Drosophila melanogaster: one gene and its partners. The protein of the gene in region 1 interacts with the protein of each later gene in a pairwise test. Each region holds a gene or a part of one and is shown in the gene's direction. Other genes may lie near its edges.

Region 1 (6,419 bases):
ATAGCGAGTTCTACAAAAGCGATGGGGTTTTTATTTGAAGCAAAACATTGCATACTTATAGATACCTTTTGAAAGACTAGTAAATATATAGTCAAATAGTAATGAGGAAGTTTTTCCAAGCCCATTGTCACATCTCAAATTATTCCCGAGACATCCCGCAAACTAACAAGCACTCAACCACTTTGGTGACCATTTTGTGTTACTAAAAGGGCTTTTCCGGTCACATGTGCCGCCTCCTCGTCCTGTAAGCCGCATAAATGAACTGCTAAAATGCTAACAAAAGCCCGAAACGGAAACGACCCCCGCACCGTGAAAAACGCACCCCCGCTTATTTGTCTGTTGGGGATATTCGCTTGGGCGCGGCAGACAAACGCGTACGAAAAAAAAAAAGGATATGGGCAAACCCGGCTCTCTATTATAATTTCCCTTTTTTCAGTTCGCTTGTGTGGTTTGTAATGTGTTGTGGCCACAAAATACTGTTAGCCACTTAATTTTGTGGTTTACCCAGAGAGCGAAAACGACATATACTTTTTGTGTGGTTAATTGAAACTCGATTGTTTTGTGTTAAACCAGAAATGAGTCTATTAAGTCCGAAAACGAAACTAAAACCATATTGTGAAACAAAAGGAAGCTATAAAACGTTTGACTCTGTCCGCCATTAAAGTGGCATCTAAATAAACATTTTATGGTTTTTGAAAGGCGAAACTTTCAAAAGCTTCTTAATGAACACGACAAAAATCCACAATGGACGGGGGCATTTTATGAGAGCATCACCAAAAATGCTCCAAGAAGGCGTGGAGCAGCAGTGGCAGCTGTCAATATATGGCCGAAATATGTAAATTATTGATTGTTAATTCAAAGCGCCACGATTAGTATAATTGTGTATTTCTCTTTCAAATCCTAAACATTTTAATGCCATAAAGTTAGAGCAGCATTTCGCCTTTTGAATATTTAACCAATTGCGTGGTCTTGGTTGTGTTTTTACGACCATTTTTGCTTTTTACGATGATGCGGACCCAATAGAGCAATTTAACCAGAGATTATGACTCCTATATTTGATTTCTTAAATTGCCCTAACGTGGGAGCTATGATTTAGATATTAAACTGCATATGTACATATTAAGCATTAAGAGAAATTTAATCGGCAAACTTGAATTACAAATTTGTTTTTTTTTTATTAACATTTTTTAATGTTAAAGATGTTACGATATTACTTTCGAACATTCCATTCTTATTGCATTTATAGCATCTAAGTGAGAAACTAAAATTGATTTCAGTGTGCAAAATGAGGGATAAGTTCGTCTCAGACATTTCCCGTCATCATGTGCAACCCGAGATTTTCATTTTCGCCAGCTGTTTTCTGTTTACAGTGGGGAAAACTCTCTCTGCGAAGTGAGGGAAATACACCAAATCGTGTTCTCTCCACGGAAATGGTTCTCTCGTTTGGTGCTCTAAATCATATTTCCTCGGCTTGCAGTTTTTAACACATTCCCCAACCCCTCCTCACACACACTCTCACACTGGCACACCAACGAGCGCCACACACACGCCCACCTGCTCGTAAACAATTATGGCCGACGCCGTTCCGCTCTCCACACGCACACAGGCGCCATGGCTGCACACACATGTGTGGAAATAAATTCCCCACAAAACACTGTGAAACAACAACAACAGCAACAAAATTACCCAAAATGGCTACACAGAAGCGGCGATCGTCCAATGAGCGTGTTGGTGTCGGTGTGCCCAGCGTTGTGTGTGTTGTGTTGGCTCTATTTTTAATTTCCAATATTTTATTTACACATTTCTAGAATTTTTTAGCTTTGTACTCAATGATAGCGCGCAAAGAAAAACTTTCCAACTGGGCGTATACGCAATATTTAAAACTTATTGCTTGATCTAAGTGTGAACTTACTTGTGCTCAGAATTACAAATTTCCAAAAATCTTTCCCTACTATGTGTATAATAAATGTTTAAGATTTTATTTAATAATATTAAAAAATCCTTATAATTCTTGGTACATAAGTATAATATAAAAAAATGTTTCTTAAACAACCGGGTACCGTGATTACCCTTCATTTTATTTATCAAATTTAAAGCGGAAATATACATTTTCAAAAATATCCAGAAATTTCCGTTACTTCCCATCGTCAACACTGCTTCTCCGTCACATAGTATCCGTCTACTACTAACCGCCAATTCTACTACGCTTTTTGGCTCTCAGCTCCCACGCGAAATTCGCTGCCTCAGCAAAAAGCATGCGCGCTCAGCAAAGAGCGCAGAACTAAAAACGTTTGCTCTCGTGCCCCAACTACTTCGCTCTTTCGCTCTCGCGCCCTAAGAAAAAGGGGAGCGCATGGCCTCGGACAACAACAAAAGCACACTTGTTGAAAACGAAAACGGCCACAAACAACAAAGAGCGAACTGGTTTTCAAGCGAGCGCGAAACTACTGAGAGAGCCGATTGGAGAGTGGGGGTGATACGAAAAGAGCGAAAAGGAGCGTGCACGTCATGTTGTTTATAGATTTTTAGTCGAATTTCGTTATTTCACGTTTAAAGTTCGTACGTGCGCTGAACGGACGGACTGCTACGACCGGAGTGTTGTGTTGTGAGTGCGAAAGCGTAAAATCGGCCAGGCGGATACATATGCACTTCCCCCAAACGCAAAAAAAAAAAAATTTTCAAAATATATACGAGAAAGTCAACACAATCGCCTATTTTTTAAGTCGTTTTCGAGTGATCCTTGTGCTTTATCAAAATTAGACTGAGTTTAAAACAAAGTATACATGTGAAACAAAATTAGCTCAGTAAATAGCAAACTTTTGGATAACCCCACGTTCCCGGAACCATCTAATAACGTACGTGCCTCATCATAAAACGCGCCCTCAACGAGGCATTCGAGCGAAACCACTAACCAAAAACGGCCAAGCCAAAGAAATAAATAAAGTACATACATACCTATGTATATCTAACAAAAGGAAAACCCATAAATGAATACATTGTAAAAGCCCATGCGTGAATCAAACGTAAATATTGTAGATGCAAGCCAGCAAAGAAAGTAGTGTGTAAATTCTTTTTTACACACATATGTATCGTGTACACATATAAATAATAAATACCGCTGAGGCAATTATAATACTTAATGAATTTATTGCACAATTAAAGCGAAGCCAGCATATCACAACAACAAATTAATATGCCGCTGGCGTGAAAGTCACAACTCGACGCATGAGAAATCCCCCCTGCGCCACAGCACTGAATTATTAATGAAATCGAATTACAAACAAAGCCCAGCAAGCATCAGCAATAACGATTGCGAATCGAAATCGGAATAAATAATAAAAAGAGGAAAAATAAAAAATAAACACAATAATAAATTATCATAAATAAGTACTCACATCAACGAGAACCGCGAAACGTGGACGGCTTAATCAGCGAAAAGTCAGGCAGCTGGAAAATATTTCAAGCAAGGCGCAGGCGCCGCTTTTCACACGAGTTGGCAGCACACGCCACATAAATTGGCACTTACCGTTAAGCGCACTGCCGTACTTTGCGGTCGGGACAAAAGCAACAACCACTCAACACCTCCACCGAACCACCAAAGAAAAGCCGTCAAAGTGGATTTAACAAATTATAATAAAATGCTGCAATCCAGCAATCATCATTATTTAAGACCGGATTATATGACAGCTGCAGCTGCCCCAACAGCGGTAAGCCCATCTCTTTGTCTCATTTTTGGGGTTTTTGGGGATAATTCTCACAAGGTATTTTATTCGGCAATCAGAAATTTATTGCGTTTATATGGACTTAGCGCTTATCGCCTAATACAGCTCAGTGATTATTGCGATTTCTTTTTCAGTGAGTTGGTTTAGCTATCTAATATGGGATAAAATATTAATTGAAAGGGATAGGTATCTGATGAACAGTTTCGGTTAAAAGTCATTAAAACTATTATTTCAAATATTGATTGGTCTTAAAATTTAATAATATTCTTAAATGTTGATAAGAAGACGTAAATTTCGTATTATTTGTTTTCGCATTCTTCACACTCTCTTCAGAGATTATTATTTCACTTTGGTGTTCCGATCGTTAAGTAGAACAAATCTTGTTAAGGGTTAAGTTCTATATATATCAAAATATGAATAAGAAAAATGCCAGAATAGTCATGGTTTAAACAGGATAAGAAGAGTAGTACAAATTCTAGCAATAACACCCAATTCGCTACGTTCGATTATAAAACTTGCAGCTATGAATAACAAACTATCGACATTTCAGACATCTGAAATAGATTGTCGAGCCATATTTCATATATAATAAAAATGTCGACTGTAAGCACTCGCCACTGGCGAAATATGTATGAAACTACGGCACCAATCCGAAACGAACAACCTCCTCCAAACTTCCAGAAGACTTTGGGCCATGTGCTGGCAAAACGGAACTGTTTTGCGGGGTCTGGGAAGAGGCAAATAGCGAATTCACAATCGTAAAACGATAAATTCTCCAATATCTGCACATAAAACTTATTTATGTTTGTTCATATTAAACTATGTAAATCTGCAGCCCAGTTGCCTCCGTCTGAAAGTGTTTAGAGAGTCGAGTGCACCTCTGGAAATTGTATCTAAATTTATGGCGCGCCAAATTTGAATTTATAATGACAGAAAACAAATGCAATTTCGCACACTTACACACACCGGCACACACACACACACACACGACCGTAGTTCGAGGAACTATGGCAGTTAATCAGAGTCAAAGTTGTTGTGGTCCCCATTTCCCCCACTCACTTTATCCAAAACTATCTCTCTTCGAAATGGCGTGAGACTCATAAATTTTCATTTTAATTTGTTGAGCGCATTTTGTTCGTAAAGAACGGAAGCAGTTTATGGCACCAGCACGATGAGTACATTCATTAACTGGGTAATTTGAAATAGCGTTTTCGGAGCTACGTGATTTACTGATTTCGGAGAGTAGAGCCCAGCCATTTCCATATTGGTCGTGTGAAAGCTTTTCAGTGGCGCAAATGAGGCAAAACCCATAAATCAACGGATCGTATATGCATACGAGGCCCAATGATGAACTGGTTCCGGTGCCAAGTGACTGACAGATTCTGTGAATCTGGGTTTCATTAAAATTTAAGTGTTGCGTCTTTAAGCAACGAGATGTAATCTCAAATTCTGTCGATCAGTAAATTATGACGTTCTATTAGTATACTCGCACTAATTATTTATGACGTTCTATTAGTACTGTAATGAACAAATATTCTTGCTAATACGTTTTTCTTTAGAGACTTAAGAGCTTACGCGCGGCACTTTGAGTTAATTTATGTTTACGTGTCTGCCGGTGACTGACTAACCTTCTTCTTTTGTGCTTTATCTGCGATACTATCTGCGAACTTATAAATTATTCAATGATTAATGGCAGCTGCTTATAATTAATTATAATAAAATCAAATAAACTAAGCCTGACAGCTGTCAGTGTCATCATTTGTATATCTTTTATGTGGCGCCCCATAAAAGCAGCGACATACACAGAAACACAGAAACCGAAAGAGAGAGATCTTCAAAGTGACTGTTGATAATTTGCTGTCACACGTTGAAAAATTACAAAACTTTTTGACCGAAGAAGGCAGCGGCGTCGCAAAATGGAAATAAATGCGACCGTTGCTGAGCTATCTGTTGGGCAATAATTCAAAATCTGAAATCTGAAATGTGAACGTGAACGTGAAAGTCAGCTTCGGTTCCAGTTTGCGCGGGCTCATGTCAGAGCTTAACATGAGCTCAAGACCAGTCAGTCAGTCAGTCAGTCGGACAGACAGACAGTTAAACTGACAGAGCAGCAGAAAAAGGTAAATAAAGTGCAAATGTCAGCTGACCGCAAACATCATTAATATAATTAAATGTGTCAGTCAAGCGGCCATTTATGCAGTCCGACGTTCATTTCAGTTAACCACAGGCTGCTTGGCAGCGTACGGTTTGGTTTGGTTTGGTTTGGTTTGGGCCACCAAATAAACCCAACACAACTGGTCGGATCTGGCAGTTAAAGTGTGCGCTTGACATAACGGCTCCGTCTCAGGCCTTTCCCCTGCGAATTTTCGCCCCCAATGGGCCATTCTTTGGGCTTTGTGCTTGCGTGTGGCTCTAATTAAAGTGTCATCAACAGCTGAAATGCCTGGCTACAGGCTACAACAAATGAGTCGAGCAGAGTTGCTCCAACGTGTTATGCCGGTGATAAATTGCCATGTCTAGAGCTGTCATGTTAATTTTTTGTACTCGCACACAAATAATAGTTTTTGTCCAAAGTGTTAATTAATTCTTGGAACATTTTAAATATGTGAAATGCGAGACAGACAAGCGAGATACAAGATGTACAGCGAAATTGCTATGGCACTCTAATTGGGGTTGGGCTGGGTTAAAAGTCAATTT
Region 2 (4,083 bases), on another chromosome or scaffold:
GTGAGACTCTCGAGTGGGCGATCTCTGTGGGTCACGGCACGGCTCCAGTTGCACTCCTATATGATTTTAAGTTTTAATTAGCTTTTTGTTGCTGCTGTAATTTCGACAGCAAACAAAAGTTGCTGCTGCATCAAATTTTTAATTAATTACACGTAAGAATGCTGAAAAATTGATGGCTACAAGGAGGTTTCTTTCGTTTCGGACAAACAATTAGCATTTTACTGTCCCAAATATGATGCGAAAGTATGAGGGTAAATGAATGAAAAGTTTGTAGAAGTTTTGTAAGGGATAGCTTTCAATTTTTCCATCGGAAAGTGGGGACGGGAGTTAGGCTCGGCATAGACAAACTTTTTAATATGAAAATTGCTCGTTTGGGGTTTGGAAAATTAAGTCCTTAAATTGGGGACTGGGGAAGCGTACCCTTTCTAGAATGTTAACTTTCAAGGAGGCATTTTTAATGTCGAGAGATAGAATTTCAAAGTCGTAATATAACCATAATTTCCTTCTTATAAATAAAACTTACAGACACACATTTTTTTTAAGAATATAAGGCGTGTTCACTATGCATTATATGTAATATTATTTTGGGTCATTGTAAAATATATTATTATTTGATAATAGTTTTAAGCTTAATTTATTTGCACAAGATCTCAATTACAATCTTTTTATGAAACCCTTTTAAATAGTACACAAATTACCAAGCCGAATTTATGAGCAAGTCACTCGGCTCAAACAACTGAGGCTACTTTAATATAGGGTGTCCCGAAATCCGTGCACATCCAGGCTTGAGCATGCGTAGTCGGCATCCGGCCGGAGCAACTCACTCAACTACTGGAGGTCAGCGGGAATGCAACACCTACGAGGCTCAAACCTACCTGAGCTACCTGGAGTAGTGCGGCAAAGAAGAGAGAGTCAGAAACCACCCCGGCAGAGAGAGTGAGAGAGAGAGAGAGTGAGTGAGCGGGCGGCGGAAGGCAAACGTCAGCTGCATGGGAACCCAAAGGCGGGACAATTCCAATTGTGACATTTTGCATTGTTGGCCAGTGTAATGACACACACCTACACGAACACGAATGAGTTGGGTACGGGAAAGGCCTTAAATATTTATGAATGGCATGTTGTATACTTTTCGGGCACATATGCAAGAGCTACAAAGTGTATTGAGAACAATTCCTTGCAATTGCCCACGACTTGCGTTTTTCACATTTTTAAAAGCTTATTTACTATGCGAGATGTGTAAACCCACCGTATCTAACATCACTAAATTACTAAGTTGTAAGCCTACTTTCATAGCCAAGAAGAATAAATTAATCTATAAGTACATTGAACTTTCCATTATGCAGTTCTCAAGTATCACTTTCCAAACCGACAGATTCGCATTGTGGAATAGTTTCAGCGTCGATGCATGACCACCAAGGCCAAAATTCTGTAGCCAAAAGTCCCTCAAACTGAACTCTCGGCCAACGACCAAGCTGATCGCAGTGGAAAATCCGAAAACCAATACGATTCCAATTATCAGAATCGGAGTTATTACGGTTGACCTCATCCGAAGGGCGTGAATGAGCATTGACCACGGTCCAGGTCGGCAATGAACCTCAAAGAAGTGGAAAGCACCACTGGCATCGCACATGACTAGGCGGACCATCAACCAATTTTAAGGTTAATGACTGTGTTTACGCAGAATAAATGTGAACCCCTGGCAAAAAAAGCGGCTGACTGACTAATTTAAATTGATAGCAAAACGGCAATCACAAATCAGACGAGATGTGGGATGAGTAATCGCGGCGATAGGCAAAAAAGAGCCAAATAGTTTTGTTTTGTTTTGTTCTCTTGTTGTTAACTTGCACTAAATACATACGTTTGCAGAGCGTTTATATTGGGATTTAAAAATATTGCGTATACGCCGGCTGGGTTACGCACGAACGAGCAAACCGAGCAGCCGCTGATGGGCGCCCGATTAAGCTCCATTAAAAAAGCGTTTTATGCTTTAAAATTGCAAACATTCGGCGGCAAACTCTATAAAATCAGTTAATGCCGGGGTTTTTGCATTCAGTCAACGTTCGAGGATTACACACGATAAACATGGCCAGAAAAATCATGTCAGTGAAACAGTCGAGCCGCTCTCCATGTTGTTGGTTCGGTTTGCTCCTGGTCGCCATTTTCCTGCAGCCATCCGCGAGCCAATACTACGGTTATCCCTATTACGGCGGCGCTAATGCGGGAGCGGGATCGGGATACGGGAACATATACGGCAGCGGCATGTACGGATACCCCTACAGCTACGGCGGATATCCGTACTACTCGTATCCCGGCTACAACCCGTACTCGATGTACGGTGGATACGGGCAGTACGGATACCCCTATGGAGGATATCCCTACGGCGGCAATGGCATGAGTGAGTTTCCCGACTGATAGCACCTCGGTGCCTAGCACACAAGTAATCTACAAGTGTTTTGGACCTGTTTCTTCCTCTAGACGTGGCCTACGCCAGCAGCAGTGGAGGATTCGCAACAGCCAGTGCGGGTGGAAGCGGATACTACGGCTAGGAAGCGCGAAACCTGATATAGTTTAGTGATAGGTATACGGTTAAGTCATCCTACCCCATAAGTGTGTTAGTGCTAATAAATATGATATTTATGTTCTATAAGTCAAGACTTATTCTTATGACGTGTCCAAAACTAGTGTACCTGGTAAAAAATTGTACACCTAACTAGTGCCTTCATGTATACCACCATAATTTTATTAGCTCCCGGAACTGATGTGATAATTTGTATGTCTTTTAGCACATTTGACCCTATGTATGTTCCGCCAAGTTTATGCTGCCATGACTCTTTGTGGGATCATTAGATCCTTTTCTCAGCTTTTAGCTTTGAGTCAATAACTACGTACGCATATCTGGTCGTTTTAATAGTTATAAAAAAGCCTTGAGGCTGTGATCCCATATATAACCATATACCGAAAAATATTTTTTGCTTCGTGATAACAAATCGACAAAGTTTGATCCATGTGCATTCTTGGCGCCTTATCGATAGCTATGGACAGTGTTGTAAGGTGCACGATAGTAAGGGGGGCAAAATTGTATCGGTCTGCCGATAGTTCCCGGCCGTTAGCCAAGTCCAAATTCGACCGACCGACCAATAGTCTCGCAAAACACAAAACAAAGGCACACCACACTTCGTGCTCTCGCCGAATTCCGCCGCCGTCGCCTGAAACTCACACAAAGTAAGCCCGAAATCAGTGGAAAAGCGCCGAATAGTCGAATTGCAGGTTCAAATGGGATGGACGGCGACTTAAAAGGCGGAGGCCAATAGGCGGCATAAAAACATTGTATTGCGTAATTGGGGCCAATAAGAAAAGCAAAAAAACAAAGCCAACCGACTGCATTCTATTGCGCCTGTGTGTGTGCTTGTGTATCTACAGCTGAGCAGTAAATAAATTTGTTTTACATTTGGCCTCCAAAGGCAATTTCTCGGTGTTCCCGCTCCCTGCGTTTCCATAAACTTCCTCTCCTTTCGCATTAATATCAATGTCTTTAGTTCATCGTTACATATTATTAAGCACTTAACAAGCAGTGAGTGGAAAGAGGAAGACAAATAGCCAAAGTATGCTTACGTTAAAAGAGCTTGTTCCACATATTCGCCACCTTTCTCCCGCACTCTTCCTCTCCCACTCTATCAGCCATCTCTATCCCTCTCACAGGGGCTGCTCACGCGCACCGTGGGGTGTTTTTTCGATTCTCTACCATTTTCGCTGCTATTGCACCCCTTCCCCAGCATTTGTGCCGCTTAATTTCATAAATCAAGGCAGCGTCAGTTAAAAAACACAAGAACTACATACGTATGTACTTCTGCCCACATCCCCTTCAGCCACCTTCTCTTCATCTTTCTGGTTTCGGCAATGGGAAATTTCCGTAGCCACCGCACAGTGGAAAGAGACAACAGCACGCAATTTAAATTACAAGATTGCAATCTCGCTTTTTGGGCAGTTGGTTAAATTTTCATCGAGACACAAGCTGAGCCAAATAAACATTCACTTTTTAAACGAACAGTGCACACGAATTGGGTAGCAATGCCTTGTTCTAAA
Region 3 (4,515 bases), on another chromosome or scaffold:
TTTAAACAAATGAACAACCACTTGTAATTGCCAGTATATAAATTCGACCTGCTAAATGGCAACTGCACTGGCCTCATAAATACAAGCGCCAACTAACCGTGCCAATTTATGGTCAACACTTAATCTAAGCTGTCAATGTGGATGCAACACCAGCGGTAAGAACTACAAAACTTGGCCAACAGAGGAGTGTGTGTAGTGGGTGACTAGTGGCTAGTATCGTAATTGGCGGGGATTACGACAAAACGTAAAAGTGCAGAACGGCATGTGAATGCGGAAGTCGAACTCGCAATTGGCCAAAGTGAAGAAGTCGTAAAGTTTTAGTTGCATTCTGCCGTCTTCGCCTCCGAATTGGACGCTTAATTTATGTTTCAATTCCAATTAGCCAGCGAGGCGCGGGCTTTTATGTTACTATTCCTTCTTTTCGCTTTCGAGTGCACAGAGAAAAATTTCCTTTTTGGTATTAGGTTAAGTGCTAAAATAAATTCGTATCATGAATTAAATACTCTAGTGTTTTAAATGGCTACTTATACATATGGTTTGGTGCTTAATGTAGGTTTTTCTTTATTGAGCAGTATAATGGCGTACTTTTTATTGCTCCCACTTTCAAGCAGCAGACTTATTGAAATTTTTTTTTTTAATTTCAAAAAAATCTACGTACTATTTCATTCATCCAAAATAGGTTAGAGGGAAGATCATTTCCCACCGTGCTCCCTGGTAATTGACTTTCGGCCTGGCCCTGACGCGTCATTTGTAATTGTATATCAGCACGAGGAGCGACGAGAATGGCGGCGTTTATTAGCCATGGCCAAATGCAGCTAATTGAAGTTCAAATTGCGTTGGCGCATGAGTTGAAATGGCAAAGGAAACCGTTGAAATGTAAGCACTCACATGTGATTCCTGTCGGTTCAATAAAACGTTAAGTTCAGTCAGACGACAATGCAGACGTAAACGAAGACGAATCCACTTAAGGCCAAAACGAAACTCAAAAAAAAAGGAAAAAAACAAGTAATGCGAAAGCCAATTCGACACTCAAACACAATCAGCAAAGAAAAGCAGAGTCGAAAGTTGGGCTGCGAAATAAAATCAAGCATAAATGCAATAATACAATTTATGTGCCGAATTTCATAAGGACCATAATGGACATACAAGCACACACTCTCCCCCCAAATCTCCCAAATAATCTGCACAATAAAGATATGTGTATCGAGTGGGACCAACAAAGGTGACTTTCTCAAGTTGGTCAGCAATCGCTGTTACCGTAATCACATTTGGCGCCGAGATGTTGATGCTATTTGCCAGTGTGTGTCATTTTCATTGCGCAAAAGTTTTCCTCCGCTTTTGATGGCAACAATGTCTCCAACACTTGCCCATCGGATATCCGGTCTCTCCATTCAGTTCAGTCCATCCATTCCATCCATCCATCTTCCCATTCTCTGTGTCGTTTGGCAAGTTAACAACATTTGCTTGACGTTTGCCAATTGCATTATGACTCAATTGTGAGTTGAACGATTTCACGGACCATCCAAAGAATCAAAGAGCGGCATCGCATCAATGAGGCAACTTCAAGTTGACTGGAGTGTCAGTCCGTTGAGAGAGAAACAGAAACGGAAACGGAAACAGGGAACTAAGTATAAAGCGGAAGTGAGGCGCAGTTCGATCGAAAATCAATGGAACTTTTAAGAAGTGATGCATTTGGAGGTTTAATAGTTGATATTAGATATATTTTTGATATATTCATATCTGCAAAATTTAAGTCATGGGATGGATATGTTATTTTCATACGTTTAAAACAGTGATGGTTCCTTTGCTGCAACTATTACCACTTCGGATGATACAACTATCCACATTAAGATGCATATATTCATGTGGAAGCGTAACACTCAGATTGAGATGCTTGAAGAGCGGTTGGAACTGAAATGCATTAACAATTTGGCAGCGGCGTTAATGCATCTCCGATGGGCAATAAATCGCGCTGGCCGCAATATGTTTTGGCCACTTGATGGCCCTTCAGCGGACAATTGTAAGTTGCCATCACCGCGAAATGTGGAGCAAGTGCGGCAAGTGCACAGACCTTACCTTATTCCGGGCATTATGCAATGTCTATGGGCCAAAGTCTTGGGCTTTATAAACTGGGTCGACGACACGCCCTTCTCCATTGCCTTCTCCGGCTGATAGGCTCACCCACACCGACTTTTGTGGCTGTCACTTGGAGCTGGGCAATTGTAAATTGATTTGCCACGATCGAGGGATAGAGAAATGGATTTCTGAAAGTCACGCAAAGCCAGACGGCAAAGCTGAAACGAGTTTGAGCTGTACGCCCGATTATGAGTAATTGGCATTGCGCTGGTCAGGTCTTCTATATATGGCCCAACCACCGAGTTATCCAGCACAGTTGTTCCAATTGCTCCAATCGACATGGCTTACTTCCAGTTCCTCAGCGTTGCCTCCAGCTTGCTTCTACTCCTGGCTCCCACCTGGGCAGGTCTGATTGCTCAGCCGACCATCACCTATGCTGGCAATGAGCACGCGGTGGCCCACACCCAACAGAATGTAGTAAGGAGCTTCGATGGCACCGTCTCCCACTACGCCAAGTCGCTGGCCACGCCCTACTCGCAGGTCCACAAGCAGGACACGCGGATCAGCAACAATGTCTACCAGCCGGCGGTGGCCAAGACCTTCAGTTATGCTACAGCTCCAGCTCCGGTTTACACGCACCAGGCTCATCAGGAACCAAAAAATCTGTTTACTCAGGCATCGCCAGTTTACCAGCAGGATGCTCATGTCCAGACTCCATCGGTTTACCAGCAGGCTGCTCATGTCCAGACTCCATCGGTTTACCATCAGCCCGCTCAGGTGCAGAGCTACCACCAACCTGGTCATGTGGAGGCACCTTCTGTTTACCAACAGAACGCCCACTACAGCCACCAGCCTGCTGTCATCCACTATTCTCCGGCGGAGACCGTCTCCCACATGAGCTTCGATGGTTTCGGTACCCACTACGGATTTTAAGTGATCAATACTTAAGTTAAGATTATAAAGAATAGCTTGTGTATGCTTGTTAAATAAATTGTTGAACTAAAACCTTAAATGTTTTTAAATACTTATAAAAACTGGACATTGTTTCTTATTCGATTTAATTTTTTATTTAGTTAAGCTCTGCAGTTAATAGTTGTTAACAGCTTGTTATATAATGTTCTTGCATAACCATATTTGCATCATGTACGCAGCATTTGCATTGGTTTTCTTGTACATCGTGTGGTTTATTCCCTGTTTATCACTCACGTTCGGAGGCAGCGTAAACAAATCATAAAAATCCACACAAAGTGCACCCTACAAATAGCCCCAAGTAGGACATTAGCTCTGGTCCTTACACCAGTCCGTGATCCTTAGATCCTAGGGCAGAAGGATGCAGAGGGCTTACGTGATTTGTGCAGCGCAAACTTAAAAATCGGACATGAAAGCTACGTGACTGGAATGGCAACCAAAGGAGCCAGGAGCATTTGAAAGGGCGAAGGACCATGAAGTGGCATGGCTTATGAACTAATAAGATTCTGCCCATCCTCGTAAATTATGCACATTGACAACTGTAATCGGGAAATTGAAATCAGATTTTTGCTGCCTCATTAATTTTGCAAAAGAAAAAGGAAAACTCCATACGCAGCCGGAAGCAAATCGAAAACTTATGAATGCCCGGAGTCAATAACCAATTTGTGTGCTCCTCTTTTTTCCATAGCCTATTTAAATGATAGCTTCATTAGCTGGCCATCAAAGTAATGGCCAAAATGATTACCAGAACAGGGCCAGCAACTTCTGGAGCGAATTTCCGAATTGAAAAACCGAGCAAAAGGCACAAAGTTGCGAAAAATGAAGCCATAAACTCCGCTTAGTCCGGCATCCTGCAGGACCTCCTGTCATTCCCCCTTTTTGAGCCACCACTTCTGTCCGCCACTTGAGTGCTAAAAGGCGCAATGATAAAATATTTGCCCGACCAGGGCTAGTAAATTTGTTGGCTGAAAAGTTGAAACAGCTAACAAAATGCAAAGGAGACGAAGAAAGGCCGAGCCGTTAGTTGTTGTTTTTATTTAGCTGTTGCGGCTAAAGTTTTCCCACTTTCCACAGCCAGGACATCGTCCAAAGGCAAGTTGGCGAAAAATAAAAATGCAAAATGCCCAGTAAGACGTATTTATCAACATAATTACATTTTTTAATGGCCCTTTAAACCGCAAAATGGCAAAGCCGCAAAGCAAGATAGAGTCATGGCGAAAACTTGCTTCAACATCTTGATACTTTCCGTGCTTCCAACAAATATTAAGTCAATTTGGGTGGCTTAAAAAAAATTGTGAAATAATTGTTAATGAGATAATTTACTAGAACTTCAATGATGATTTCAGTTTTACATGTTTAAATGGAAATACGTATTTGAAAGTACAAAAGGAAACATATAATATTACTAAAATATTAATAAGACTACCTTTGTTTGTTATTGTCTGATATAAATATCAAGTACCAGCTTTT

What was found. The genes of interacting proteins can lie anywhere in the genome.
Region 2: the proteins of elB (region 1) and CG14563 interact in a two-hybrid assay, tested with the Drosophila melanogaster proteins (one large-scale study listed by BioGRID).
Region 3: the proteins of elB (region 1) and CG7548 interact in a two-hybrid assay, tested with the Drosophila melanogaster proteins (one large-scale study listed by BioGRID).

The regions. Positions count from the first base shown.
Region 1 is NT_033779.5:14,405,656-14,412,074, reverse strand, and holds the start of elB (elbow B), read left to right. Parts: upstream 1-2,525; 5' UTR 2,526-3,638; coding exon 3,639-3,707; intron 3,708-6,419. UniProt on the Drosophila melanogaster protein: May negatively regulate Notch-induced cell proliferation in the eye-head primordium. May act in leg and wing primordia to negatively regulate body-wall specifying genes and thereby promote appendage formation. Required for tracheal development.
Region 2 is NT_037436.4:21,840,370-21,844,452, reverse strand, and holds CG14563 (uncharacterized protein), read left to right. Parts: upstream 1-2,066; 5' UTR 2,067-2,097; coding exon 2,098-2,395; intron 2,396-2,475; coding exon 2,476-2,546; 3' UTR 2,547-2,645; downstream 2,646-4,083.
Region 3 is NT_037436.4:7,504,102-7,508,616, reverse strand, and holds CG7548 (uncharacterized protein), read left to right. Parts: upstream 1-2,399; 5' UTR 2,400-2,415; coding exon 2,416-3,009; 3' UTR 3,010-3,077; downstream 3,078-4,515.